Linked DNA regions of Tamandua tetradactyla. The protein of the gene in region 4 purifies or fractionates together with the protein of the main gene of each other region. This does not show direct contact. Links are inferred from orthologs where the notes say so. Each region holds a gene or a part of one and is shown on either strand. Other genes may lie near its edges. The genes, in order: SAP30, SAP130, SUDS3 and ARID4B.

Region 1 (7,705 bases), on a different chromosome or scaffold from region 4:
TCTATAAACATCTTAATATAATGCACAGATTTCTTGGTTCTATTATTTCCCGAGAATGCACACACTCAGTCAACTTTTCAAAACTCATTAAAGGACTAAATCCAATAAAAGTCCTATATCAAGACAAACTGTTAGTAAAACCCTGTATAAAAAAACTTGCATAAAGTAAAAAGGGTTTAATCTTTGCCTCTTCAAGATATAAAGAAAACATGGATGTCTCAACCAAAGCAAACTAACATCAACAAAGACAAATTCTGAAACAGTTAAATCAGCAACTTATGTGCATACTGTATGGGGTTCTTCTATAAACATATGTCACCAGAAACCCCCCAAAACAAATACTGACAAAGACATTAGAGCTTATTAATTTATTTTATTATGCCTTGATCAGGTGCTCAATAAATGTTCACTGAGTGAATGGAACTTTAAAACTAACAAATTTTAGAATGAGGACAGAAAATTAACATTCAGTATTTCTTAAAGCCAGTATTAGAAGAAGCAAAGAAAATCGCACACAGTTCACTGAGTAGTCATTACAAAAAAGTGATGTATTGTTATATCACTATGTTAATTATTATGTTAACTAGTTCATTAGCATATAATTGGTGGGAACAGGCTCACTTAAAGTCTAAATAGTTAAAAATTCATATACCTCAACAAGCTGTGCTTTGTTAAGTCCTGGTCTGGTTGGTAGCTTGAAGTGTCTTTTGTATCTCCTAAGTGTATTTACTTGTAATTGGTATAAATCGACCTAGAAAGAAGTAAGGTATATAAATTAGTTCATTCAAACTACTGAAATATCACTGGTACGTCTAATGTAATTCCATTATCAAAACACCTATAAATGTATTAAACACTTTCGGGGATAAATACATTAAAAACTGGGGCACAAAAAAAATTATAAGACAATAGAGATGCAATAATTGTCAACTGAAATATAACAAGTCACACTGTGTAACTGTATGTTAACTGGCTGTATTTAATTTTGCTTTCATTTTCAGATTTCTCAAATTCTTTAACCACTTTAAAAATGTGCTCAAATCTTTTCTATAAAAGTTTAAGAATGAATTATTTAGGATACACATTTAACATATAAAAATGTTCATCTACCTCTGGGGTATCAATATCTTGAACAGGTGAATCACCTCCATCGTCATCACTCCCTTTTCTCTTTCTTCTGTTTCGAACACTCTGAATTAAGTTTTTATGATAATCGCAAATGTAGAGATGCCTTGCCTGAAACAGAAAAGTTTTACAGGCTGCTTATGATTACGACAAAATGTAGTGTCTATCTATTACTGAAATACATGGGTCACGGTGAACTATTAAAAATAAACACAACAGTCAAAACAGGGCATTGTCAAGAATACAGCCTGTTTCCATTCTTATTCCCGCACTCATCCTATTAAAACATACCAGGTCCGACAAAATTGGTAATCCGGTTAACAGGATGGAGGGGGAAGGGCGGGGGGCGCCCGTGGGGAAAGGAGGGAGGGGAGAGGAGAAAGAGAAAGCCCAACCCTCTGGGTTTTGTCATCAAAACTCAGAGGTTTCTTCTGAGTTTTAAATGAATGTCTTTATCTGTAACACGTTTTGCCAATGGAAACAATCTGAAATTATCCAAGTTCACCTAAAAAATTATCTAACACGACTAAAGAACTGCTTAAACATGTGAGAAGTATCGCAAATTAACTTTTCAAAAACTTTTAATGACATAATCTCGAGAGTTGGAGTAACAAATATGAAACACAGGGATTCATAGGTTGACCCGTTAAAGAAAATGCACTTTAAAATTTATTTCCGACCTAAACGCAAGTTCAAAAACAGGAAGGCCGCGCGCTACGTCCTGACATCACATTCACCGCGGCCAGCCCGAGCTCGGAAGAGGGGCCGCGGCTGCGGCCCGCGCCTGGGAGAGGGGCCGGCGGGAGGGCTGCCCGCGGGCGACCGGCGCAGCGGAGCCGCACGGCCACGCGCCGCCCTAGGGCCGACGCCGCTCCCAGCCCGCGCCCTACAAGGCGGGGCTGGCCCGGGAGAACCCGACCGGGCCCGGGAAGCACCGCCCCGCCCGCGGGGTGCGAGGTCCGGGGCCCAGCGCGCCGGCTCGGACAGCACAAAGGCGCCTCCACCCAGACCCGCGGACGGGCCCCGGGAGTCCCCTCCTCGCCCTCCGAGCGGCTCCCTTTGTTCCGCGTCCCACGACCGGGAGGAAGGGGGAGGAGGCCGCGGAGGGGGCGGGCGTCCGAGTTGCGGCGACCTGGCGGTGCGCGTCTCACCAGGGACCCCAGCACGGGCCCGCACGGCAGCAGGTCCGGGGCGGGTCCTGCCCCCCGTCTTTGCCCGGATCCCGGAGCCCCGCGGAGGCGGCAAGGCCGTCCGGCCGGCACTTACGCTCTTGTCCAGCTCGATCTTCACCTTCTTCTGGGAGATGCTCTTCTGGATCCTCTTGCTGAAGCTGGCGTTGCCCGCCGCCCGGCCGCACCGCTCGCCGTCCTCCCGCAGACAGCACAGCTGCCCGGGGCCCGGCCCGGCCGCGCCCGGGGGACCTGCCGCCGAGACGGCCCCCGCTCCGGACACCTCTGCCCCGGCGCCCGCCCCGGCTCCGCTCCCGGCCGAGGCGGCGGCGGCCACTACGGCGGCCACTGCGGCGGCCGCGTCCCCGCCGCGGCTCATCTCCTCAGGCGTGAAGCCGTTCATGTCCCGCCGGCAGAATCCGCGCTCGCCTGGCCGCTGCGCCTCCGCGACACTGGGGTCGCGGCCGGGTCCCTCAGGCACCTGCCACGCGGCAGCGATGCCGTCCGCACCCCGAGTCCGGTGGCGGCACCGTGCCGACGTGTGCTGCTCCGCGGCAGTGGACGGTGCCCAGGGTCTGGACCCAGAGCCCGAGGGGTGCGCAGTGGCGACGGCGCTCACTGTCACCTAGAGACTCTTGAATAGTTAGACCGCGGCGCCTCCACCTCTCCCCGCCTCTCGTCGGCCCTCGGATCGCGCAAGCGTAGTGTGATAAACACCGTGCCGCCCTTCCCGTCTGCCGCAATGCACCCCGGGAATTGTAGTTCTCTGTGCAGGGTCAGCCTGAGCCCGGAAGGTTGGAAAACTACCTATCCTAGCATGCATCGCGCGGCGAGGGGTCGGTCTAGGAAGCCCACTGACTTTTCCTCTCTTTTCAGTACCGGCCGGGGCTCGCAGGATGGTGTGGCTGGGAATGATGGTGTTTGCTCTTCTGTAGTCTCTAAGAAGTTAAGTTGTGGTTAGCTCCTGGAATTTCGCAGACTTGGTGTATTCAGACCAAGCGGCAACCGACTCTTCAGACAAAGAAAGAAAGGAGGAGAGGAAGTGGGTAGAGTGTGTGAACGAACGCTTTAGGTGCCTCTCTGGTCGCTGTGGAAAAAGAGTTTATGGTGTGACCACGCTTTTGTTGGAAACCCAAACCAAAAGCTCGAGCGGCGTGGAAGTCCCGCAGCTCACACCCCGACTGGATGGCAGCCCCGTCTGTTCGCGCGCTGAAGCGCCCCGTGGAGCGCACCCACCCGACCTTTGACCCTAGCAGGTGTCCTCGCAAACGCCGCAGCCGAGCACCGTTTCCACACCTTTGCCTGTTCCTGCAGGGAACGCGCTCCGTTCCCGGGCGCGCAGTCTCCTCCCGGGGCTGTGGCGAGAGGCGGAGTCCAGTACCTTTTCCCGGGAGGCGTGGAGCTGTCACCTGGGCCAGGCCAGCTGTGCGCTCGAGGCGCGGCACCCGGCTCCGCCAGCGGGGCGAAGTGGAGCCGCGCTTGCTGGGTCGCGCGTGCGACTGCGGTGCGGGAGTGACCGTCTGTGCCTGTGCGCCTGCGGTGCGGAGTGACCGCGTGTGCCTGTGAGCCCGAGTGTGCCTGTGCGCCTACGGTGCGGAGTGACCGCGTGTGCCTGTGTGCCCGAGTGTGCCTGTGCGCCTGCGGTGCGGAGTGACCGCGTGTGCCTGTGCGCGTGTCGCGTGTGCTTCTGCGGGGCGGAGCAGAAGGATGGGGAGCTTCCTAATAGGAAAGCTTTTCCTAATAGGAAAGCTTCAGCTTTGCAATAACTTAAACAGCTCATCGTTTTTAAAAATCAGTACATAAACAGTCTCATTGTTAAACAGTTCTAATGTTCGAATAGAAATACTGTATTTTGGCTAGTAGGTTTTTGGAATGTTCTTGTAAATTTAGTGAGAGACCATTAAAAAATAAAGTGTAAAATGCCATCTGCGCTGAAATTCAAAGCCATCGTTTCCACCTGTGCATCTAGTTCTAGGATCTGGCAAAGGAAAAAACAAAATTAAAATATTAAATAAGTTGAGCAGGTAAAATGTAGATAGATGCATGCGAAGTACGATATGTTGTCTTTTTAAGCTGTACTGTCCGATGGGGTGGCCGCCAGCCCTGTGCGGGTACTGAGCACTTGAAATGTCCTTACTGCGACTGCAATAGTTTTATAATTATTTTTTAACTCGATTCACTTTTGGGAAAAAACTTAAATATGTTTGTGACAACTTGACTATTTGAATCTTTGTTCAACTCAAGTTTTATGAAATCTAAATTTAGCATCGGAATTGAGATGTGCTCTAAGTACAAGTTGCAGATGGTATTTCAAAACTTAGTACCAAAAAAATGTTGAACAGCTTATAAATACCTTTTTTATATTGATTCTATGTTGAAATGATATTTTGGGTTTACTGGGTTAAATGAAATATTAAAATTAATTTTACATGTTTTTTAATGTGGCTGCTAGAAAATTTAAAATTACGTTTGTGGCTCGCATATTTTTATTAGAGAACGCTGTCTTAGAGTAAAAACAATCATGCTGGATGTTATTTATGGATATATTTTCTTAAATGGTAAAAATGAGAACATATGTAGGATGGACACACCCCAACTTCAGGGTGTTGGTCACCTCTTGGGAGGCAGGCCAAGTGAATGGCTTAAAACTGGTTTCTGCTGTATTTGTAAGTTTTTATTTATGAAAAAAAAAATCTGAAGAAAGCATGATAGTGGAATGTTGAATTTTCAAATTTATCTTTGTATTTTTATTTGTTACTGTTTGGTTCTTGCGCCTATCCCTTTCCTTCAAAATTCGACTAAATTAATTCACTTATCTGTGTTTAGTTATGTATCAATTATATAAAACATTCAGTGAAGAATTGTGGCTTTGCCTCCTTTACCCAAAATAAAGTGTTTTAAAAGAGATCCAATTACATGACATTCAGGGGTGAAAGTCTCCCTCACAGCATAGGAGATGACTCTTAAGGATGAGCCTGGCCCTGGCACCTTGGGATCAACAACGCCATCCTGACCAAAAAGGGGAAAAGAAGTGCAGCAAATAAGGTATCAGTGGCTGAGAGACTTCAAATAGTTGAGAGGCTACTCCGGTGGTCACTCTTACACACGCTTCAGTTAGACATTGCTACTTATCATAGCTTGCCAACCCCCAACCAAAACTATTCCTGTCAATCCTAAAGAACCCCTAGAGTGTAATATAAGATTCTACAAAGGTTCTGTGCACTAGGGTAACTTTCCAGAAACCTACAACCTCCAGATGGTCCCTGGACCAGAAAAGTCCTGAAAAGCAGAGGGGCCAGCCTCTCCAGAACATCAACTGGTTTTATCCCCCATCCCATATTACCAACAGCCCCTTCCAACATGAACAAGTTAGAATGGGCATAGCCCAAATACCCCTAAAGAGTGGGAGAAAGATCAAAGGGATGGTGGAGTTACACAGACAAGGTAAGGTTTAACAAATGAGTGTGATTGCTGAATCATTGATATTTCTTTTAATCTCCAGTGTCTCCAGTGTCTTGGAGCAGCTAGTAGTAAAAACCTAAAAATGTGGAATTGTAACCCATACTAAACTCTGAAATCTGTTCAATAACTAATTGTTATGATGTGCTTTGAAATCTATTGCTTATATATATATATATATATATATATATATATATATATATATGTTATTTTTCACACACAAAAAATCGAATGTGATGATAAACGCACAGGTATATGATGATATTGTGAACCATTGTACACGTTGGATGATTACGTGGTATGTGAATATATATCAATAAAAAATAAGTTTTAAAAAAGCAAAAATAAAAAGATCCAATTTAATATTTATTGCATACTATGATCTTTCCTAGGCCCTGGGAATAAAATAATTGAGAGAGGTTCATAGCTATTTTGGAGCTTGCTGGGAGGCAGGCTGCTTAACAAGCACATTTCAAAAAAGCATGCTAAATGCCTCAATAAAACTAGAGAAATATAGATGTAGCACACAGGAGGGAATGATTAATCTCCGGCAAGTAGAAAGGATTCCAGGAGTTGGTGACATTGCCAGATTTAAAGTACATCTTCAGTGAGTCTATTTGTTCAAAGAAATTTACATAACCATAGTTCATTATTTATTTTTACAGATTTCCATATGCAGGACAGGTAAGAACTCCTTGCTTTAAGTGTAATTCACGGTTAAGACTGGAATCAGGTGTTTGAGGGCCTCAAGTTTGTACAATTTGAAAAAGCATGTAAAATTATAAATATAAAATTAGGCCTTTTGAATGGCTTGTCCAAGTGAGGGACTCTGAAGCCTAATCCATTCACCTCATATTAAACTGCCTCATAGTAGCCCATATGGTTTTCTTCAGGAAGTTTCTATTCAGATTTTCTGTCTATTTTATCTATTGGGTGTGCATCTATTTCTGTCAATTTGTATTAGTACTTTATATATCCTTAATGAGCCCTTTGCCAATTTTACATATTTCAAATGTCTTTTCCTACTCTATAGCTTGCTTTTTGACTCTATAGTGACAACTTTCAGTTAAATAAGTCTTTGTTTTAATGTTGAAAAAATTATACCTTTTTATATAGGGCTGATGATTTTTGTGACTTAAATAATTCCTTATTCAAAGTCATGAAGATATTTTCCAACAGTATATTCTAAATGCTTCACTGTTTTGCCATTCCCATTTAGCATTATGATGGATTTTTTGTGTGTTGGTGGAAGATAGAGGTGTAATTTCATTTTTTTATATGTTACTTGTGCTGGTTTGAAACCATTATGTACCCCAGAAAAGCCTTGGTTTTTTTTTACCCTTATGAAACTTATTTCTGTAATGGCAAAGCTGAGCCTACTTATAATTAATGTCTAAGAGTCATCAGCAGAAAATCTCTTGTGTAGCTCAAATGTCCCTCTTCCTCAGCCAAATTCTGACCACTGCCCCTCCCCCCCACCCCAGACGTGAGACATGAATTCCAGGGGTGTAAGTCTCCCTGGCAATGTGGGACATGACACTCAGGGATAAGCCTGGCCCTGGCAACACAGAACATGACTCCCAGGGGATGAGCCTGGCCATGGCATCATGGGATGGGTTCACCAAAAGGAGGTAAAGAAATAAAGTCTCTGTGACTTAAGAGATTTCAAATTGAGTTGTGAGAAGTCATTCTGGAGGTTACTCCTATGGACGTTTCAGCCAGATATTGCAAACTACCACAGTATAGCAAGCTCCAACCAACAATATTCCTGGAAACTTTAAAGGATACCCTGGGCTCTATAAAAGTTTTACTTATTAAGTTCGTTTTTCAGAGACTTAGATACTCTGGATTGTTCCAATACCAGATAAGCTCTGAAACCCAGCAGCACCAGTCTCTCCAAGAACAACAACCAGTTTCACCCCTCTGCTCCATAATGTCAATGCTCTTTTCTC
Region 2 (7,688 bases), on a different chromosome or scaffold from region 4:
ACTCTGTTTAGGATTTCTTTGACTCTATAGCTCCCTTTCGGAAGAACTGATAACTTAAAACTACTGAGTCTTCCAATCCAGGAACAAGAAATATCTTTTCATTTTGTAGGTCTTCTTTAATTCCTCTAAGCGATGTTTAGTTTTCAGACTACAGGTTTTGCACATGCTTTGTTAAATTTATCCTTACGTATTTCACGATTAAAAAAAAATTGTGGTAACATATAAAAAACTTCTCATTTTAACCACTTTCATGGGGAAAATTCAGCAATATTAATTACATTCACAATTTTGTGTTATGATTACATGTCATGCTTTTTTCCTATTATTGAAAATGACATTTAAAAACTTTCACTGTTCACTGCTGGTATTTAGAAATAATTGTATATTGAATTTGTACCTTACTCAGAAAAAAATTTTATACACTTTTTTAGTGTAATTGAAGAAATAAACTTCCATATACATATATACTCTTCAAAAGTAAATTTATGAAGTAAACTTATGACTTTCTTTTCATTTAACCAACAAGGTTTGAGAGAAATTATTGCTAATTAACACTTTCTAAAATGAGCTGTGTAATTCCTTGCAAAGGATAAGTGTTCAAAATATTTTCTTTAGCTATACTATACTTTAAATAACCCTTCAATCAATTTATCCCAAAGATAAAATATTGTCAAAAATATTTCTTAGGGAATAAAAAGAACCTCAAGTCCCTCAACAAGAACTTATGACCACTACCTTGAACACTATTTTGTCATAAGGAGCATGAGACAGACACAACCCCAGCCCTCAAGTAGTCTTCAGTCTCAGAGGAGGTCTAAGACTGAACTGTGGACGATGAAGTTGGCAAAGATGCCATCAACACAGAAAGCGACATCTGAGATGAAACCTGAAGAATAGGAATTAGCCATAGAAGTGTGTGTGAACAGGAAGATGGCAGTGAAAGGAATGAAACGTACAGAGGCCTGAGGTCATGAACACTGGGAACGTTTCATCATTCGTTCATCAAATCAATAGATAATATAAAGCAGGAGGCATAAAGCAGTTTAAAGTATCTGTAAGTCTAACAAGCATGAGAATGAACTGAAAAAAGTAAACTGAAAAAAGGTAAAGGGTTGGAAGAAGGGGAAAGTAGCAGGAAATGAGACTGGGACATGAGAAAGGTGTCACAGCTTGTAGGTAAAAGGCACAGACAAAGCAATTAAAGATGATGTCTGAGCTCTTCAAGCAATGAGTAGATGGCGCCACCTTCTACCATATAAGGAACACAGTTTGCAAAGCCACTTCACTTTGCAATGCCACCTTTTGATTTGATACAAAGCAAGATGAGAAAGAGAACATTTGACAGAGAATCAAGAACAACACTGAAAGGTAAGGAACTTTCCTCTTCTGACTCCCAGGTCACTTCTCCTCTAAGCAGGGCTCTGCAGGCCTCTGTAGCCACAGCACTACTGCGACGTTGGACCAGGTGTTTCTTTGTTATGTAGCGTGACTGTGCACTGCAGGATAAACAGTGGCATCTCTGGCTTCTACCCACTGATGCCAGTAGCATCTTCACTGGGACAACCAAAATGTTTGCAGAGATCGACAAACATTCCCTAGTAGGCAAAATCATCCTCTACTGAAAGGCAAGGATCCACAGCATTTAAGGGGCGCCTAGCCAAAACTTGCATAAAGACTTCTTACCCTCTTTTCCAGGTAGTAAATTCCTAAAAGGCAAGACCTATCCTTTACTTTACATACCTCTGTTCCCCAATGATGCTATCACCATACATCTGAGCCTTGGACAGGAGCACATTAACACATTTAAAAAATATATTCCTGTAGGCAAGCTTTACTATAAGTTGCACAATATACAATGATGCATGTCAATGAAGTGGTTAAAACAAAAAAACAAAAAGACTTGTAAAATATCCTGTTTTCAAATTAAAATTACTTGGTGTTTACTAAAATTCTAGGGAAATTTGCTAATTTTTAAATCAGAAAATGAGCAACACACTCTTATATGGTGTAAAAATTATAATCTTACCTGCAGCAGTTGGATTTATCAATCCTGCAGAACCACTGCTTGAAATCTGTGAAGGAGTTTGGCTCAGCCCAGTGGAAGGGGTTCCCAAACGAGGAAACTGCTGAGAACTCATTTCCACCTGCAGTAAATACAGTCATATGATTATGGCTAGATTCTGAGATTAGAAACAATATTAAATATTATCTTCCCTCAGAAATGCAAATGCAACAAGTTTTCTAAAAAAAAAGAAAATCACTTATGATGGATACACAGGGCAAAAATAACCTAAATTCTGTATCTGCTATGTATTCAGGCTCAATTAATAAAATCATTTCTACAGTGCTGGGGGATACCATGACCCTCTAAATACCTGTGGACTGTAGACTAAAAAAAAAGAACAGGGAATCCTGTACAACAGCCACATTACAGCTACTGACATGATGCACACGTGTCCGTGTAAAGTTTTAGGGGGAATGGAGCCTGTCTGTGATTGGTTTAAACCTGACACCAAGGTGAACAGAACCATACTCAATCTGTCATATAGGAGAATTCAGAACGGAGATGCCGGATCCTAAGAGAGGATCAGAAACCGTATGTCAAGACCTGACCAGAAAAAAATTCTCAAATGCTTTTTTTGTAAAGGCCTTTACAGATTTCCTCTTTTTCTCCTGGTTTCACAGACCCCCCTCCCCCCCAGGAGCCTGAGGGACCCGAGCGCTTCAGTCATTTTCGTGCCCACTTTCCCACAGGAGCCCAGCTCTCCGGATCTCCTCCATTAGTTCGCAGGCGCTTCCCCGCCCCAAAGCCCACGACAGAGAGAGACAGAGGTTTCAGCCGCCGGGGGTCTCAGGGGCTCCGTCTGGGGGGAACAGGACAACCAGCACCCTGGTACCTGCAGCCGTCTCCCGCCACCCGTCCCCATTTCGCCATTCACCGGGGGTCGTGGGGGGCCCATGTCGCTAGAGGCACTGGGCGAGGGGCGAGGATGGGACGCCGGGCAAGCGCGCCGCTGTCCAGCCCCGCCGGCCGCCTAGCCCTCAAGGCTTGGCAGCCTCTGGGCCACCGGCCCGCTCCCCCGCCTCCCCCGCCACTCATTGGCCCAACGCCGGTCACGTCACTCGGGGCCAGCGCCAATCCGCTGCGGCCGTCGCACTTCGGGCCCGCCCCTCCCTCCCGCCGACGACCGACCAATCAGGTACGAGCCTGGCCGGGGCGCCCCCGCCCCTGGTGACCGAGCCAATGGTCGTAGCAGCCGGGCACTCCCGGCGGAGGGGGCGGGGAGCTGGCAGGCCCCGCCTCGGCCCCGGTCTGAAAGCGGCGGGCGCAGGGCCCGGATGTGGAGAGTCACTTTAAACTGCTCCGGGAGCCAAACTACCCCGGCCGCCCGCCCGCGTCCCCGGCCCTCAGCTCCCCGCCCAGGCCCTGGCCCGCCACGCCCCCACGCCCGGCCAGCCCGGCCCTCCCAGTCGCCTCTTCCCTCTCCGCAGCGGGACTCCAGCCCCTGCGGCCGGCACAACCGCCGTGCCCAGGTCGCGAAGGAGCCCGAGTCCCGGCTGGGGGCGCCAAGCCCCGCTGCCCTTCCCCGGGGACGCGCGGCGGGACGGACGCTGCTGCCCGGCGCGGCGCCCCGCCCCCTCGCCACCTCCCCTCCCAGCCCCGGCGCCCGTCCCGCCATGACCTGGGCGCTGCGCCGGGTGGTCGCCGCGCCGCCTCGAGCTCTCCCCCGTGCGCCGTCCGCCTCTGGGGTCGCCGTCCTCGGGCTCCGGACCCGCCACCGCCGCCGCCGGGGCACTAGCACTCTGCCCCCCACCCCTCAGCCCAGCGCCGCTGCTTCCGCCGCCGTAACGAGCCTCCCGCCGATTGGCCGCAGCCGGCCCCGCCCTCCCCCGGGAAGACCAATTGCCGCTCCAAGTGAGCGGGAGAGCAGACGGGCCCGCCTCCCGAGGCCTCGGCGACTTCTGGGAAATGTAGTCCATGGAGCCGGGAGGGCGGGCCGCGAGGGCGATGGGAAACTCCGGGGCGGGGCCTGCTGGTGACCTGGGCTGGAGCTGTGGGCCCTTCAGAGGTCTGGGCACCGTCTACTGTTTTTCTTCACCGACCGGGGACACGGCGGGTCACCCCCATTTCGACACTGTCGGAGGCACTGTGTTCCATTTTCCTGAGACGTTAAGGGGCCGTGGCGCGCGAAAAGGGCAATGGAGGTCGTGGTGTGGCGGGTCAGCGTTCCGCCGTGGTGGCACTTGACTCGTCCCCGAGGCCCTGGCCCGCGAAGCCCAAGCAACGTGGGGGCCCCAGCACCTCAGCGCAGCAGGCAGACTCGGAGAGGGGGCCCTGGCTACGAACCGGGGCGCCGCGTCCTGGTGCTCTTTGTCGCGGCCGTAAAGCCGCGGAAAGGACATGGGTTCATTCTGTTTCTGTTGTCGGGCGCAGATAGGTGCAGTTTATACATTCGTGAAACCTGCAGCCAAAGCTGCTGAGGCAAAATGAGGGTCTGCGTCCCCATCGTTCCTCCCTATGTAGTAATTAGGCCTGGGAGCGCTGTGACGGGTTAAGATATAATTCCGGCTCAGATCCCTTCTTCCTATCATTGCACAGCTGTCTAAGACAGCTGCTTGCTGGGAGGAGAGTAGCTCAGAGTAACAAGAGTGAGTCTCAAATACCAGCCCTCCTCCCTCAAGCTACTTTCTCCCTTCCCTTCATTCCCAGACATCTTCCAAAAGTAACTCGCATTACATATTTTAGCTTCCTCTCTCTACCCCTTGTGGATTCTGGTCCTGCCATCCTTCTCAAACTGCTCCCTAAAAGTGGCCAGTGACGTATTCAATTTCAAATTTGGTGGTCCTTGCTTAGTTCTCATGTTGTTTAGTTAATGACCAGGAATTCCTCCTTAAAATGATCTTCCACTGGCCTCCATAATCACACTCTCTCCTGGTTCTGCTCAAGCTTCATCACACCTTCTCTTGAAATAAATATGGTATTTTCTAAGGCCCCAACTCTTTTTTGATACTTTACTATCTTCATAAATGGGGCAATAAACTCGCACAGTTTCAAATGTCACATTTGTGAGTGATTCCAATGTTTACCTACACGGTGACCTCTCTCTGAGTTGTACCCCGGTATACCCAGGAGCTGTACCAATCCACATCACTGTCTGACAAGCTCCTCAAACTTAACTTATTAAAAGGTTGTATTGATTTGCCTCACCTATCTGCTCTGCTCCCTGGGTTCCTGGGCATTACCACTCTTTCAGTCTTTCGTCAGACTTCTTGTTTCTCACTCTCCCATCTCCCGAAGTTGCTATATTGTATTCATTATGACTTTTCTGCATCCTTTCCAATCACTTCCATAGCCTTGGGCTTCACCATTTCTTGTCTGGATCACAGTAATACAGCCTCCTTTCTAATCTCTTCCTAACCCCTGTCTATCATTGTTTGGGTTTGCTAAAGCTGCCAGAATGCAACATACCAGAAATGAATTGGCTTTTATAAAGGGGATTTATTAAGTTATAAGTTACAATTCTTAGGCTGTGAGAATGTCCAAATTAAGGCACCTAACAAGAGGATACTGTTATAGTTTGCTAGCTGCCAGAATGCAATATACCAGAAACGAAATGGCTTTTAAAAAGAGGAATTTATTAAGTTGCTAGCTTACAGTTCTAAGGCCATGAACATTTCCCAATTAAAGCAAGTCTATAAAAATGTCCAAATTAAGGCACCAACAAGAGGTTACCATCACTTAAGAAAGGCCAAGAAGTTCAGGGTCTCTCTCTCAACTGGAAAGGTACATGGCAAACATGGCGGCATCTGCTAGCTTTCTCTCCAGGCTTCTTGTTTCATGAAACTCCCACTGGGGTGTTTTCCTTCTTCATCTCCAAAGGTCTCTGGCTGCGTGGGCTCTTGTGGTTCTCGTGGCTCTCCCATGGTTCTTATGGTTCTCTAGTGGCTCTGTCTCTTTCTCCAAAATGCTTCCTCTTTTAAACAACTCCAGTAAACTGGGATGGGTGGAGTCACCTCTAATGAAAGGTTAATACCCACAATTGGGTGAGTCACATCTCTGTAGAGATAATTTAATCAAGTTTCCAGCCTACAGTACTGAATAGGGATTAAAGAAAGGCTGCCTCCATAAAATGGGATTAGGATTAAGACACGGCCTTTCTAGGGTACACAAATCCTTTCAAACCAGCACAGAAACCTTCTCAAAATAAAGGCTGATTTTCTCTGTCTGAGGTTTCTCTGTTGCATGGGAAGGCACATGGCAACCTCTGCTGTCCCTTCCAGCTTCTGGTTTCAAACAGCTCTCTCAACGTCTGGCATATCCTGGGGCTTCTGGCATCTTGTGCATCTCCAAACATCTGTGTCTGCTCTCTGTGTCAACTCTTTTAAGGACTCCAGAAAACTAATTAAGACCCACCTTGAATGGGTGGGATCATATCTCCATTTAATCAAAAGGTCCCACCCACAGTTGGGCAGGTCACATGGAAAAACCCAATCAAAAGGCTCCGCTTAATGATAGTCTTCCCCCACAAGATCGTGTTAGAATTTTTAAAAACTTGACTTTTCTGGGGTACATAACAGTTTCAAACCAGCATAGTCCTCCACAGAGGTCTTTTTCTAAAGCCTTTACCTGAGTCTGTCTGTGCCTCCCATGATGTTCCAATAACTTTCAAATACAATCAATACCCTAAGTTCAGTATTCAAAGGCCTTAGTAATTCAACCCTTTATACCTCTTCAAACACTGAATGCTCTTTTCAGCAACAGTTTCCATCAGTTCTCCATACAGTTTGGCTTCCAGAGTTTTGCTCAAGCCTGAAATACTTTCTATAGGTCTCAATCTTCTGCAATCATCTGCTAGCATTCTGTCAATTCTATAATTCCTAACCAAAAAACAAACAAAGAAGATTTATATTCTCCAAGAAACTTTCTTCAAATTCCTACCCACACCCCCCTACTCTCTGAATACCTCTGTGGAATTTCCTCAGGCACTCTATTCCAAGACTAATTGTGCCTACCCTTTATTTCTCCTGGACTAGGATGAGAGAGAAATTACTCATCCTTTCTTCCATCTATGGGACTTTATATACAGGTGGCATTCAGTAGTTTACCTAGTATAATCACAAATACATCCATAGCACATGAATGAAATCTGAGTGGTCCTTAGTTACCAGGGACAGTCTCTGCTGCCATATTCATTCCTATCTCCAGTCCCTTATATAAGGGACACTTGAAGGAAGGTAGGTGCTTTGCTCAAGGTTATGTTGCTGAACTTAGAACTCCCATCTACTGAGCTTAGTATACTAATTGAGGCTGAAAACATTCTTCTTACTCAAGAGTTAAAGCCACCTGCCAAAGTTTTAGGAGCTTACTATTCTCTTGCATTCCTAAAAATGATGTCTACACAAGATAATATGGAAGGTTGAGCCAAAAAAATTTAGACACCTCACCTGCTAAGTTGTTTTCTAGAGAAGGACTGTCTGCCAACAAGAAGGACAAATTCTCAATGCAGGTGACTTGTGGTAGTCAATCAGATGTCAGTGTGTGGTCTGCTGGTGTTAATAAAAGTTTCATGGGCTTCTCTCCTGCTTAACCCAGCTGGTTCTCACTCTGGCAGGACCTGGCATGCTAACATCTGGATCCTTGTGCATTCTCTAGTTTCATATGCTCCCCTTGGTCCAAATACCCAGCC
Region 3 (8,014 bases), on a different chromosome or scaffold from region 4:
TTTTTAATAAAAAGTCAGTAAATTTTAAGCATAAGGAAGCTATTTTTTTTCAAGTTCTTTAAAACATAATAGAATTTTAGTCTATCTGGGCACGTTCAGTTGGGGCTCTGTCTGAAGGTGATGAAAAGGTTTGGGTGGACGTGTGTTCAAGTGGAAAGAGCATCGGAGGAGTCAGGAGTCCCTAGTTTCCAGTCCCAGTTACCTGAGCTCTCAAAGCATCCAGAACCTTGCCTAACAGGTAGTCAGTGCTCAGTGAGTTCATGACCATCTTAGAACCTGGCTGCTGGATGACGCGAGTTTCCAAACACTGGTTTTCACATCTTAAATAAAAGAGGAAGTAGTAAAAGGTACTCTCCTGTATTATGGGATTACTTCCCTGTGATCATTTGCCTCTAGGTTCTTTCTAGTCTACCCATCATGGATTTTTGATATAGGAAGAAAAAAAGAACAAGTTTCATCTAAATACAGACTGATTAAATACAACCAATTTAAAAGAAGAAAATGCACACATACACACAGTCTTTGGAAGCATTATAGTCAAAACCACACATACAAGGCCACTATATTTTTCCTGCTAATTCTGTATTCCAGAAAAATAATATAAAAACAATCATGAAAGAGCTTGTGTTACTCACTGTTCCTTCATTTCTACATAGTCATCTTCATCATGCTTTGCGAGGTCAGTCTCACTAGCATCCTCTGTGTCTGAGTAAAATTAGGGAGGAAAAGTCAGTTAAAATCATATTCATATACTCGGCATCGCGTCACAGCAAACGCATGCAATAAACTTCTGTAAAATGAATTTCTTCTCAAAACTGGCCAGTGTGACACCATCAGTGGAAAACATTAAGTACAGTTATTTCAGAAAAGAAAATGGCATTGCCAAATTATACACAGCCAGATTAATGCAAAGAGCTTGCCCTTATTTCAAGTGCAACCAGAAAACAGGGGTATCAGACTAGGCACTCATGGTCAAGGCTGTGACTTCTGCAGAAACAAAAAAGCTGGCAGTTCAGGAAAAGGAGACATGGGTGGAAGTCTGGAAAGTACAGGTAGTCAAGCCCTGCTCACTACTCTAAATTGAACCCTTAGCAAATTTCATATCAGATAGGAGATGAAACAGGAGAAAAAGAAACAAGAAATACAACTCTAATAACAAATATTTTCAAAGTTACAACTAATGGAGAAGAGGAGGGAGGCAAGATGATCAAACAGAAACTGTTTCAAAACACTTTATACACTATCCTTAAATAAGCAAAGCGCTGGAGTGTCTACACAATTTCAAGAACCCTACTGCAGGAAGTAAATCTATTTTGGCTTCACAGCACCCCCTCGTGGGCATTAAAAACAATGTAAGTGATTCATATTCAAAGGGTTGAAAGATGAGTTTTAACCCAGCAGGCCCCAATTAAATCCAGTGTGGCATGTCCTCAAAGTAGCATTTCTTGCGAGAATTTTAAAGTAGATCATCTCCAAAGATTCAAAGTTATCAATGCAATTAGTTGGCTCAACTTTGTCTGCATATATAGTTGCCTTCTGAGAAATGCTGTTGCAGACCCAATTTTCCACAAACCCTTCTCCCCTCCTTCAGCTAACAGAGCTTCACTGAGTTCCTGTATGTGCCAGCCAATCAAGTGCTCATTATTTCGAGGACTGAAATGAATAAGACAGGCTCCTTATTCCAGACAGCCAATAAAATGAACTGGAATACTCCACTCATATATTGGTTCCTCTCTATCTCCTCTTTCTTCTCCCGTGTCCTATGCTTCTTAACCTTTCTCTCCCTCTAGCCAGCTCCTTCCTCAATTCCTCTAAAACAGTACTCCTCACACTTACCAAAATGTAAAGCCCAGCCTGAAACGCAATGCTCTGAGAAGCAGTAAGACATAATATAAAGGGAATGGAAATGAAAACACACCTGGGCACCATTAAGCAAATCTCTACCTCTTCCTGTGCCTGTTTCTTCAGTGGTGAAAAAGACACTTACTGAATACCGGAAATTGGGCCAAGTACTTCATACACATTTTTTCATTTAATTCTCTCAACTACCCTAAGAAAAAGGTACTACCTTTCCACCCCATAAAGTTGGGGAAATGAGGCTCAGAAGCTTAAGGAAGTTTTCTAAGATGACAAAGTTGGGTTAAGTTACAGACACAAATTTAAACCTAGATCTGGCTGATTCCACTAAGCCTTCTTTAAACCACTCTGCATTCCAAATCTTGTACTGTGCTGTCCAAAGTGGGACTGACTTAATCATATTCTGGTGGGGTCGGGGGTGAGGGCAAACAGAGCTTTGCTCTGACTTTCTCCAGAACTAAAAGGACAGGGATTCACAGCACTCAAAGGATGGTTTTCCTATTCCATCCAACGAAGACCAGAGGCTCAATCCGGACGGTTGGGTTGTGGGGGAGGGAGCAGAATCTTAAAGGGACCTCCAGCTCTATGAATATCTCCTTAAGTCCCTTCTCCCCATAACAGTAGGGTACAACGTACACAGCCAGGGCTTCCCTCCTTCCCCAGAGGGACTAGTGATAACTTCCCAGGACCCCGCTTCTCCCAGATGCCCCTCCAACGGGCCCCACGCTCTAGAAGTCGCCCCGCCCCGTCCCACTCCCAGCCAGTCCAACCCCTTCCCCAGCAGCTCCACCCCGGCCCAGGGCTGCCAGCGGTCAAAAAGACGCACCTTCATCCGAGTCACGACCCCGGAAACTGCGTTCGTCGTCCTCCGCACTCTCCAGCTCTTCATCCTCCTCTGGACAGTACTCAGGCGCCGGCGGCGCTCCAGCCGGGGCCGGGGCCGGAACCAACAGCCCCGCGGCACTCATATCACCTCCGACCGCAGCAGAGCGTGCCACCGGGAGATCGAGGCCACCCACGCTGGGGACTTGACTTCCTCCTGGCAGAGCCCGACGGAGCCGCCACCCCGAAGAGCGGGAGCCCCGGCGACCCCTTCCTTGTTTCCGCCGAGCTCCGCCCCACGCGCCCGCACTGGGCAACGGGGTCCTCGCGCCGGCGGCGACTTCCGGGTCGCGAGCTGCCCGAGGACCGCCTGATTCCTCCATCCTTGAGGGAGAGGAAAGGCCGCCAGGTTCCGCGACGTTCCGTTCGCCTAAACCTCAGTCCCTTCATTGCCGTCTAAAAATAGTCGACGGAATGGTGGAAAGGGGCGGAGACATGAGCTCTAGCGTTAGGCAAATCTACGGGCAGGTCTAGCTGAGGCCAGGACCCCGAAGCTTAGGGGCGACACCGGAAACAGCCGCCAGGCGGCGCCTGGAGCCAAAAGTAGAGCGAGAAGTTAGCGACCTGAGAGCGGCGGGTATGAGGGGTTTGAGGCAGGTGAGGTGGTCTTTTCTTTAATTTAAGCAGGTGAACCGTATGAACGATATGAACCGTCCCCTTTATAAGTTGAGAAAATGTAGCTATCCAGAGTTTGAGTGAACATCCAGAAAAGAAAAAGAGCCCTGACTCCTCCCCTAATTGGAGTTTATTAAAAACTAAAAGATAAATTTTCTGTTGCTCGGTCCTGGGATCAGCAAAACGGTATTTTTCTCAGTCCGTCCGAGTCTGTTGGTATAAGTTTGCTGAATAAAATGTTATCCCGATTTTACAGATGAGAAAAGAGATGTCACTTGCCTAAAAAAAAAGTAGTAGCATCCAGCTACTTCCAGATCCAAGCCTTCCTTCAACAGTAAATCTGTCTCATAATTCCTCGAGTATTAATTTTTAAAAGATTATTTTTCCCAGTTCAGTAATTTGGTAACCAACTCTCATCTGAGCAAGTGGAGTTCCTTGCATACAGACCCAAATACCTAGATAAATTAATTTGTGATTTCTACTCAGTAAAAGGGGGCACAGTGTTTTAAGTTTTGGTTAAGGTACAAGTTTTGGGTATACATGTTGTCAAGAGCAGTGCGGTTTAATTGTGGCAGCACGATAAGGAAAAGGGCCAGAAATGTTCAATGGTTTGTCCAAAGTAATATAAATATTCCCACTCTATTTTGCATCCGTGTCTTCATAGAAAAAGTAATTAAAAAATAGTAAAGTTGAACACAGATGTACGAGCCAGAGTGGAATCTACGATTCTGATTCTTAGATCCCTTGTAATCAGATTTATCTCTGAATGGACTCAAAGTCTCTTAAAATTACAAAACTTTATTCTCATAAAGAAAAAAAATCTTTATTTCCTACCTTGTTTTGAAATCTTGGCTCTATTTTTAAGGGATTTTTTCCTCCCAACGAAACTCATGTATTTACAGAATGGAATGCTGTGATGTCTTTCCAAGAGGTTTTTTGGTCTCAGGGATCTTCTGAAGTTCTTTTTAAATAAGAGTTATTCTCAGAATGCACTGTAGGTCTACCATCTATATTTAAACTAGGATTTCAGATTCCTGTCTGTTGTACAAAGGCTGAAGCTATTTTCTTTGCTTTGTTAGATTACATCCAAATTATTTGTAGTTATCTATTGAACTTGAGTCCCTATTAGTACCAATAATTATAAACCAAAAAAAGCACCAACAACATTTTAGAAATTAGAGTCCATTGATATAATGCATTAAAAAAAAACTGATTTTATCACTAATTGTTCTCCTTTCTAGACACTTGAGTTTTTGTCTTGCTTATATTTTATTTCTATTTCCATCTAACTGATTGCAGATAACATCCGCTGATGTCATGCATTTCTTTCATTTAATGAATAGATACAACTGAACACTTGAGTGGTGAAAACTTATCCTCTTGTCTTCTGTCCATATTTCCTAATGCAGAATTGTTAGAATAAGCTTTTAAGTAAAAGATGCCTTTTATTGAAAGGGGACCTAGAGAACAACAAAAAAATTCACTTGTGGCTTTGATCTTACTCACTCTTTATAGTTACTTAATACAAAGGTTATGGACAATTTCTCTAGGTGTGTAAAAAGCAATTTCCCTCAAAACTAAGTTCTACCACCTTGAAATCTCTTCCCAAAATAGTGCTCAGCCACTCTGCTCCTATTACTTCCAACTTAAATGTAGTCCTGCAAACCCCAATTCCAGAATGTTTGTGCCTTCAAACCTCTGCATACTCTAACTCCCAAACTTAAACTTTAAAGAGGAGCACTGTAATTGGAGTGGGGTATGATTTTAAAACAGTAAGGAAAAAGTATGTATACGGTTTAGAACACCTACTTAAATTGTATAGCAGGAGTTTAAAAAAAACTTAGAGTTCTGAGGGCTAAGGCCTGTATACATTTGACAACACTTATGATTAAAATGTGTTTCTGAAATGAAATAATTTCTTCATAAAATGCCAAACTGCCAAAGTCCTTAAGTTTATTTTGGGGGTTAGGAATAAACATAACAGTTTTCTAGTATTGATTTCCTCAGCATACCCAGTTTCACAAAAATACAAGGAGTAACTCTGAGTAACATGTACTTTCACCCCTGGAAGACATTACCTTTCAGCTTCAATCAAGATAGGTCTTTGCTTATCCCAGATTGCACTTGGGGTCAAAGCTTGTTAAAATTTGGTGATTAGTTTACACGGAACAAAACGGAATGGCTCTGTGAATGTTGAATAGGCTTGCTTGAAGCTAACGGTTTCCCCAGGAGTTCCTGTTTTTTCAGTCATAATGATGATACCAGAAGTTCAAAATCCAGCAACTGAGTATCTCTATAAAGTTTTGTTCTTATACCTATCAAAATGAGCCCCGCCAGGGTTGAATGCTGTTTTGCAAAGCATGTATCTAGTATAAATATAGGGATTTTCCCCAGCAATATTAAATTGATGTTAGCTGAACACAATGCCAAGAAGAGCATTGTTAGAGATGTACAAAGGACTTAAATTCAGGAAATGGACAAGTCCTGGGAGAATTTAAATCCAGGAAATTTACAAGTCCTGTGCAAGGTCTTGGAGAATGGGGACCTCCCCAAAGGCTCTTATATCCTTCCAGGGTCCCAGAGTGCCTTGGCCTCTAGGCGTTTCCCAGAAAAGGTTAAGGCGCAGGGAGAAGTGCCATGAACTTTGACCCACGGGTTGGCGCAAACAGGGATGACCGCACCCCTGGAGGGCCCGTGGATAACTGAAGTTGCAAGGTCTTCCGCGTCTGAGGAAACCTCGCCCAGCCCCACCCGCATAGTGAATTCCGCCAATCCTAAGGCGCCATCGACCGCTCGGTTTCCTAGGCATCTCCAATCAAGTACCTATAAACGGCCTCAGCCCTGTGCCCCTCGATCAGGGAAGGTCAGTAGAGAGCCTATCGGAGCCGGGTGGGGGCGTGGTCTAGGGGTGGGGGCGGTCGGTCGGTGAGGGTGGGGCGGAGCGCGCTCGGCGCAGTCGGGTGCGATTGGCCACCCCTGGCAGGAGCCGCACCTCGGACAGCAGCAGCGGCGGTCGCGGGAGGGTCCGTGGGGTGCCCGGAGGCGGCGGGGTCCCGCGTTCGAGAGTGGGACGCAACGCAGGGACCGCGGGCGGAGGTTCTGGGCGGCTGGACTCGGCACTCAGCAGCGGACTCGGGAGTCTTCCAGGGGACAACCCGTAGAAGAGCGACTCGGGAACAAGTGTGAGAGAGGAAGCGGCGGCGGCGACGCCGGGCCCGGGGGCGGTGACAGCAGGTCTGAGGTGAGAGCACCGGGCGCGGGGCGGTGACAGCGTGAGCCGAGGCGAGGGGACCCTGCGCGGAGTGAGGTCGGCGACGACCGGGCGAGGGGAGGTTCGGGAGCGGATTTGACAGTTCGGACTGAAGAGAGGAGACCCCGAGAGGGGCCGGGACAGAGGAACTGAAAAGAGGGGAGCCCGAGTGGCGCCAGGTCAGAGGGTTGCGGGAAGGGGACCCCGAGAGGGGCCAGGACAGAGGGTCCGCGGGGAGAAGACCCCGAGTGGGGCCAGGACGGAGGGTCTGCGGGGAGGGGACCCCGAAAAAGGGAGACAGAGGGTCTAAAGAGAAGGGATCCCGAGAGTGTCCGAGGGGAGGGGACCTCGCGAGTGCGAGTTGAGGCAAGGAACCCTGAGAGGGACGCTGGTTCCAGGTCGGCGGGATCCCGCGCTCTGCCAGCCTTGCGTCTGAGTCGCGAGGGAGCCTGAGAAGGATCGCGCCCACGGAGTTGTTCAAACCACCCCCAAGCCCACCGCTGCGGTTGGGGTCCTGGGTCCGGGTCGCTGTGACTGCGAGTTGGGGCCGACAGCTGGGGCAGAGTCGTGGAGACGGTGATGCTCCCAGGGTCTGAAATCCACGGGACGGGACCTTTCTGAGCGTCGTGTGCGCGACTGGGATAGCTTGAGTCGGGGTGACTCTGGAATAGGGATTATGTAATGAAACATCTCCTAAGTAGAACGCACCGGCCGGAGGGTCTGGTAGAAACACCAACATCTTGCAAAGGTCAAGACAGAGGCACCCCTGACCTTTTCTCACTAATCTCCCTTGGTGTGGATGGATGCCTGGAAAGTGAGGGGCTACCTGACCTTGATAGCTTAATCTGAATGTGAAAAGTTGGAGGGAGCTTCTGTAACCTACCACAAAAAGTTGAAGGGGAAAGGGATCCTTTTGGAAACCCATGTTTTGGATTAATTCTAATATTTCTTTTGAGAGAGGCAGATATTTTCCTGACCTGTTTTTTTTTTTTTTTTTTTTCATTTTAGCTGAATAAGAAGCTAAGAAATTTGTTCTGATTTGGCAGCACCTCAGTATCAATGTTTAAGATGCAAGTTTAAAGAAACAGTAAACTATAAATAGGGAATTTTGATTGCTTAACTTTGATGTGTGGAAGATAGTTGAAAGATCGAACTAAATTTTTTAAAGAGGCATTGGGGAAACTAAAATAACAGCACTTTCCAATAAGTTTTCTTATCCTAAAAGCTACCAGAACTGAGCTTTAGGCATAATTCCAGGACAAGCTATGGAGAGAGATAAGCCTATTTAAACCTGACACTGTGTGTCCTGGTGGAAGGCGGGTGTGTGTCTGTCTATTAAAATGTTGAAACAAATTGTGGGAAGCAATAGAGGGTGAGACTCCAGGGGACAGCCTCCTCCTTTGACTGATG
Region 4 (6,865 bases):
AACTCTCTATATTATTCAACACAACAGTAAGGAAGACAAAGGGTATTCCTAGAGCTAGAGTTTGTGACTAGAAAAGGATTCATTTCGGAAACATTACTGGTTTTTTGGTTTTGTCTTTTTTTTTTTCATTTAAATAAGAGTAAGATGGAAATTCATAGGTAAGAACTATTTCATATAAGAGTTTACAGCGCCCCAAACTCAAGAAGAAAAGCCTAGAAAAAAATGAACTAAACCCACTCTTGTATAGGAGATAAATGTTTAAGTTGCCACAGCTTTTACTTTCTTCCATAAACACAAGCAAGTATTACAAATTTTAATCCGGATGCAGTACTTTAAAAGCAGTATCGATTTTGAAGAGAAGTGGAATAAAGTTTTTTTAAAATAGTTCAAAGGCACTGACAAAAGTAGATATTTACACTTCAGCATACTATACTATCTGTTCCATTTCTTTATCAGGGAACACACTTTTCAAGCACTTCTGAATTTGTACTGGATGAAAATATAGAATATGCTAGTCTTTAAGTGCCACCAGTTGAATATAGACAATTCACATATCTAAAGCTTTTTACTTCAGAATGCATTAAAAAACTAAACAGCATTCAATTACGTATTTTCTAAATTGAAAAAAGCTGTGTGTTCTTATACCATTAAGCAAATTGGGCCTCTCAGATAACTATCCTGCATTCAGTTGCCATGCTTAAATTTAAGAGAAACCTGGCCATCAGCTTATCACACATCACAATGTAACACAGCAGCTGAAAATTTGCAGACCAAAAGATCAAAATTCAAAAACAAACCATATAACTCTAAATCCCTGGAAATTAAGAGAACTGCTATCTCTAAACTGTGTAAAGATTACCATAATTTTCTTGAAAAAACTTCCAAAGAAGCTCATCTTTGTGTTTAATCAAATAGATTTTCTGCTAAAAATTTACAATACTGTTCACACAATAAGAGATTTTCTTTCATCAATGTAACCGATAGAACCACAACACAGTTCAGCATTTAGAGTCAGATTACTTAATCTGCTCTTTCAGTTTTACCTTTCAAAGCATTTTAATTCATGCAGTTTCCTATTTTTACCGGCAAAATGAAGCGCTCTATATGGTAGGGTGATGCTCAATGAGATATTCGGACTCCAACTCAAAAAGACACAGGCCCCGAGTATCCTATCTGGCAGCAGAGTCCCTGAGCTGTAGATTTCCTACCAGTTGACCCCCATCGTTACCCAGGCAAGAGTTCGGGGACCACGGCACCAAACACACCTTTCTCTTCAAAACTCAGGGAAGCCCCACACAACGACCTCAGTCAAATACCCTACCTTTCTGAATTCTCTAACACCAGAGGTTCGTTTTCTGCAGGCAATCTTACCTTCATGATGACTCCGGGGCCACAAGCCCCCCGATAACACCAGATTCACCTGCACCTGGAGTGGAAACAAAAAAGCACCCAGTCAACCCCACAGGCACCCCCTGTTCACTGGCGGAGGCGGAAAGGAACCAGTGAAACCTCTGAACACCGATTAAAGCGCCGGAGAGGGCGTCAGCCCCCTAACGATTAAACAAGGATTCGGGGACTCCTCTGGCCTCCCTATCCCCGCAAACCCAGCCAACTACACAGCTCGGTAGCTCCCGGTCCCCATTGTCGGGACCCGACGGAGTTTCCCGTCTCCGACAATGACGCCATTTCTGTCAGAGAAGAAACTCACAACAAGCCCGGAGTCCGACACGGAATCGGTCACCCTCCCCACCGCTCTTTCTCGCCCAGCCGAGCTGGTCCTCTCCCGAAGCGCCGCGCAGCACCCCGCGTCCAAGCGGCAGCCCGGCCCAGTCTCCAGGAATCGACCCAGCAGGGGCGCAGGAGAGAGTCAGACCGGCCGGAAGGGCTGCAAGCAGGACCGTCTCCCCCCGCAGAGCCTCTGTCCAAGTCCCGTTTCGAGGCCAGAGACCCTGAGAAGTAGGAGAGAATTTACACTTGGCCCCACGCTGCAGGGACGGGAGAAAACGGAAAGGCCGTGTGGCAGCGAGGACCTTAGGCAGCGCCCCCCAATTCCTGCCTGGGCCCCCCACCGCGGCCAAGGGCCGCTAAACCGCTGAGTCTGCGACCGCTCGGTCAAGGGGCGATTCGGACTCCATTCGGAAACTGCAGTAGGGGAGAAGGTGGGCCTCCCGGGAGGACAAGGCCCCGAATTCGGGCGCCCGGTGGAGAGACCACAACAGCCATCTACCCCCTGCTCCACAGCAAAACGCAGGGACTCCCAAAAAGACTCCCTTAGGGGACTGCAAAAGACCCAGAAAATGTCCCTACCTTCCTCGGAGGCCAGATCTGACCCTGGCACGTCCAGAATCCCCTCCCCTCCTCCCCCAAAACCAGTAGGCCCGGGGGAGAGATGGGGGAAGAAGGACGGCGGGTCCAGCGGTTGCTGAAGCTGAGGCTCCGGCTCCTCCTCCTCCCGCGGCGGCGACTGGTACCTTTGTTTGGCGGCCGCTCAGGCTCCCTCGTTGGGGGGAGGGGGAACGACAAAAATCACTCCCGGACTGGAGGTCCGGGCCCCCAAACGCTCTGCCCTCCAGAGGACGGCAACGATAGACCCTCTGAGGCTCCCTCCGGGCAGAGGCCCAGGCGATGGCCGTGGCGGCGGCAAGCTTCAGCTGAGAGTCTCCCTCCGCTACGGCACCCAAGCTCCTCACTCCGGACTCGACTGACGGGCAAACATCGCTTACCCCCCCAACCCCCCCTTCCCTCCTTTCTCCCCTCCCCTAGATTTTTCCCCCTCCCCTACCTCGTTCCCGGATGGCCTCTTAGACGACCTTGGATTGGTTAGAATTCTTTGGAACCCACCTATATCCTGTTCTTATTGGCCCCTCGGATACAAACACAGACGCCATTTTCCCACTAGTTCTATGGAAACAGAAAGTTATGCCTCAAAGCTTCACGGGGAATGTAGTCCAGTCTAGGAGGCCAATGCGCAAACCGCTTGCCGTTGAGAACTACAAGATCCGCAATGCCCCGCGCCCGCCTAAGGCGGGGGGAGGGGAAAGGGGGCGGGGGCGACAAAGCAGTGGGGGGGAGGCGGCTACGACGCCTGCGCAGTGTGACCGGGATGGCGCATTTTCTTGCACCGAGTAATGCGGTGTTGCTGGCCACCGAGGAGGGCGGAGAATTCTGTGGCGAAGTAGGGGGAGGGATATATGTGGTCACCGGGAGGAGCTTTGGTCTGAACTATAAAGTGGGAAGTTGACGCTCAGTTCTACTGTTACCGGACCGGCAACGGGGAAGTCGTGATATCATCGTTGAACTGTGAGCGGCAGTGGCGGTGGCTGGGGGGACCCGGATGGTGAGGAGGGCGGGGAAGGGTGGGAGGCGGGGAACCGAGAGGAAAGAAAGAAAAGAGAGTGAGGACCCGGATGCTGAACCGGATTGTGTATTAATTTTCCATCCGCGGGTTTGCGAGGGTCGAGGGGGCGGGAGGAGGGTTAAGTGATGAAGTGGGGCGGAAAGGGGCATTTGAGCCTAGGAGGAAGCAGAAACCTCCCGGTCACTTGGGAGTCTGTGCTAGGCAGAGTAAACATTTGAATTTCCTTTATTAAACCTTTGTTGAAAATCTGCCTCAAAGTTATTTAACTACCCTCCCTGTATCTCAGGACAGTTTTCTTCAGACGCATGATCCCCCGGAGTTTGAATGGAAGGATTCACTCAGCGCTTCACATCTACGCTTCACATCACATTTGTATGTCTCTACTAAGCAATTTTGAAACCAGAACCTTCCATTAAAAAAAAAATACTTAGCATGATAGTTTCACTTTTTATGCGCAAAGTTTTCCTCTGATGTACTTCTGTACTGCGTTGGAAGGTACTTCCGCTATTACATTCATTCAACCCTTCACATATTTTTGAGCTCCTACCACGTGGGAAAAACAGTATGGTTCTTCCCCTCAGGAACCAAGTCTAGTGAGACTGAAATTAAACAAAATAGACACACGAATCGGTTAAAATGACAACTGTGGTAGGTGCTACCCTGAAGAGTTACGCGGTGGTAAGGAAAGGCTTTCCCGACAAAGTGAGGATTGACTTCAGGTTAAGGAGGAGTAGGATAGCATGTTGGAAAGCCTTGTGTCAGGATGAAGAATTGAGGTTGGAGAGGTGAGCGGGGAGCCGAATCTTACAGGGCTTGTTGACAAGTTTTATTCTTACTCTAAAAGCAGTGAAATATCGTTGAAGAATTCTCAGTCCGAAGGGTGATAGAACCAGATTTAAATTTCGCAAAGAGCAGTGAGAGTTAAGTGATAAATTACAGGAGTGAATGCAGAGAAGCCAGACAAGGAGGATATTGCGGTAATAATCCATCCACACGGAAAAGAAAATCTGTTGTTTGCATTCCTGTTTATTGACCCACTCTTGGAACAAATTTAAGGCAGTTTTTCCGTTTTGAAAGTGGAGTAGTTTCACACTATCTCATGTAGGCATTCTGTAGGTATTCACCCTGAAATAGTAGAGATCATATAACACATTAATAATGCCTCTTTACTTTGTGTAATATAAAATTTCTAGCTGTGATAAATAACTATTAATTGGCTAAGTTGCTAAGTGGGAATTCTCGTATCTCTCTGAGCAAAATGGATATTTTTTTATTCATAATTAATGTTTAAATTGAGAGATAACATCAGCCAAAGCTCTAAGAATGGAAGCAAAGTTTATCTCACATTTCATTGCAACACTTTGTACCTTTTATTGAACCAGACAAACAAAAGAGCATTCTTGAAACTTGGCTTTGATGATTTTTAAGTGTCACAAAGTTTGTGTCAAAGATACAGACATGATTTTTGCTCTCAACCTAGTTGGGAAGAGATGGCTACTAACTTTTACTAACTTTTAAATAATTAGAGACGTGTGTAAGAGATGCTTTTACTATTCTATCTTCAATTCTGTCCAATAATAATGTTTTACCTAGGCAATTATTCTATTTAAGAAAATTTGCATCTTCTTTTCTTTCTTTAATCTCTAAGAATTAGGTAACCTATATCAGAGTTGCAGTTAGCTGGTAAACAGTACATGTAATAAATTTGGATTATTTCCTGAATTTTTTCCCTTATGACATAGTTTGTACTAACTGCTAGACAAGGTACATTTGCATTCCTGTTTATTGACCCACTCTTTGAACAAATTTAAGGTAGTTTTTCCGTTTTGAAAGTGGAGTAGTTTCACACTATCTCATGTAGGCATTCTGTAGGTATTCACCCTGAAATAGTAGAGATCATATAACACATTAATAATGCCTCTTTACTTTGTGTAATATAAAATCTCTAGCAGTGATAAATAAATGACTACTAATTGGCTAAGTTGCTAAGTGGGAATTCTCATATTTCTCTGAGCAAAAGGGATATTTTTTAATTCATAATTAATGTTTAAATTGAGAGATAACATCAGCCAAAGCTCTAAGAATGGAAGCAAAGGTTATCTCACATTTCCTTGCAACACTTTGTACCTTTTATTGAACCAGACAAACAAAAGAGCATTCTTGAAACTTGGCTTTGATGATTTTTAAGTGTCGCAAAGTTTGTGTCAAAGATACGGACATGATTTTTGCTCTCGACAAAAATGTTTATCTTTGCATTCAGATTGCTGAAAGATTTCCATTGTTGGAGTGCTGTTTTTTATGATTGTTTCACAAGGGTACTCATAGAGTGGATGATAAAAAATACAGTTTTTTCAGTACCAAAAAGTAACCTGAACTTTAACCATTTTCATGCTTTAATGTCCATTTGTAATCTCCCTCCAATAAAGAGTTAAGCCAGTAGAATTTATTTTTTAATTTGTCATTATACAAACATGAATATTTGTTTATTTGGTATTAAAGAGTAAGGATATTTATTCTATAGCTGGGGATTTTAATCTGAGATACATGTAAAGGATTCAGGGCCTATATGATTCCTAAAAAATTATATGTAGCATTTTATGGGTCTGCATGTATCTAGGTGAGGGCATATTCACTTATAAGCTGGGGTTTTTTGTTTAGTTTTTGTTTAAAATTCATAGCTTTTATCAGATTCTCAAAAGCTTTCTCTCACCAATGAGATGCATCATACTACATGGAAGCACCAAAACACTTAGTTGATGATAATCCGTGTGTATTCATTCAACCAACTTGAACACATGCCTACCATCTGCCTAACAGGACATAGAAAATGTAGTTTTATTCTTTTCTTCTGTTTACATGTTACACATCTTACACTCCAGTGGAAAAAGAAGTACATGATAAAATTGATGTGACATAACCCTTTTTCCCTTAAATCAGTAGCTCACAATAAATATTAAATACCTGATTCTCACCACTTAGGGTAGACTCAGCTCTACTGAGTTCTTCATTGTGCTGGTGAAAAAAATATTAGTTTACCAATAATGAGATGTCACTATGTTTACTTCAAGATTTTCAGATTTGCTTAGTGGCATGAGTATGAATCAACAATGTTTATTTACTGTAATATATGTGAAGACTCTCATATTTCATGGATTAAGGTATTAGACAAGTTCTGCTTCCCTAAGTATATTTTATACTTTTAAATTTGATGCTAGTAAGGAGAAACTACTGGAATAGCCTAGTCTATGAGAGTGGATGAAGAGCTCATCGTGTGAGATGACTAGGCTGTGAAAGATGAGTTTTAGTACTAACATTATGAAGTTACTACAGCTAATTTAGAAATTGAAGAACACCCCTGAATCTTACAGTAAATAAAACACCACCACACCCCTTTAGTTGTGTAACTAATATGCTTTCTTAAGAAACTCCATCAGAATCAAGTAAGGTGCAATTAAAAATGAAGGTTCCTTCCTAAGTTTAGTGAATTAGAAAAAAGACCTTTGAGTG

The links.
Region 1: the proteins of ARID4B (region 4) and SAP30 purify together in Homo sapiens (affinity purification with mass spectrometry; 5 studies listed by BioGRID and IntAct, with this or other methods). This does not show direct contact. The link is inferred for Tamandua tetradactyla from reciprocal best matches to the Homo sapiens genes ARID4B and SAP30.
Region 2: the proteins of ARID4B (region 4) and SAP130 fractionate together in Homo sapiens (co-fractionation; 4 studies listed by BioGRID, with this or other methods). This does not show direct contact. The link is inferred for Tamandua tetradactyla from reciprocal best matches to the Homo sapiens genes ARID4B and SAP130.
Region 3: the proteins of ARID4B (region 4) and SUDS3 purify together in Homo sapiens (affinity purification with western blotting; 3 studies listed by BioGRID, with this or other methods). This does not show direct contact. The link is inferred for Tamandua tetradactyla from reciprocal best matches to the Homo sapiens genes ARID4B and SUDS3.

The regions. Positions count from the first base shown.
Region 1 is NC_135352.1:39,728,275-39,735,979, forward strand, and holds the start of SAP30 (histone deacetylase complex subunit SAP30), read right to left. Parts: upstream 3,006-7,705; 5' UTR 2,698-3,005; coding exon 2,392-2,697; intron 1,237-2,391; coding exon 1,111-1,236; intron 752-1,110; coding exon 653-751; intron 1-652. UniProt on the Homo sapiens protein: Involved in the functional recruitment of the Sin3-histone deacetylase complex (HDAC) to a specific subset of N-CoR corepressor complexes. Capable of transcription repression by N-CoR.
Region 2 is NC_135329.1:84,675,055-84,682,742, reverse strand, and holds the start of SAP130 (histone deacetylase complex subunit SAP130), read right to left. Parts: upstream 3,020-7,688; 5' UTR 2,961-3,019; coding exon 2,940-2,960; intron 2,145-2,939; coding exon 2,027-2,144; intron 1-2,026. UniProt on the Homo sapiens protein: Acts as a transcriptional repressor. May function in the assembly and/or enzymatic activity of the mSin3A corepressor complex or in mediating interactions between the complex and other regulatory complexes.
Region 3 is NC_135331.1:18,679,344-18,687,357, reverse strand, and holds the start of SUDS3 (sin3 histone deacetylase corepressor complex component SDS3), read right to left. Parts: upstream 3,013-8,014; 5' UTR 2,826-3,012; coding exon 2,684-2,825; intron 706-2,683; coding exon 636-705; intron 1-635.
Region 4 is NC_135333.1:5,592,667-5,599,531, forward strand, and holds the start of ARID4B (AT-rich interactive domain-containing protein 4B), read right to left. Parts: upstream 3,018-6,865; 5' UTR 2,842-3,017; exon of another isoform or gene 2,783-2,841; intron 2,731-2,782; exon of another isoform or gene 2,308-2,730; intron 1,427-2,307; 5' UTR 1,378-1,426; coding exon of another isoform or gene 1,372-1,377; 5' UTR 1-1,371. UniProt on the Homo sapiens protein: Acts as a transcriptional repressor. May function in the assembly and/or enzymatic activity of the Sin3A corepressor complex or in mediating interactions between the complex and other regulatory complexes.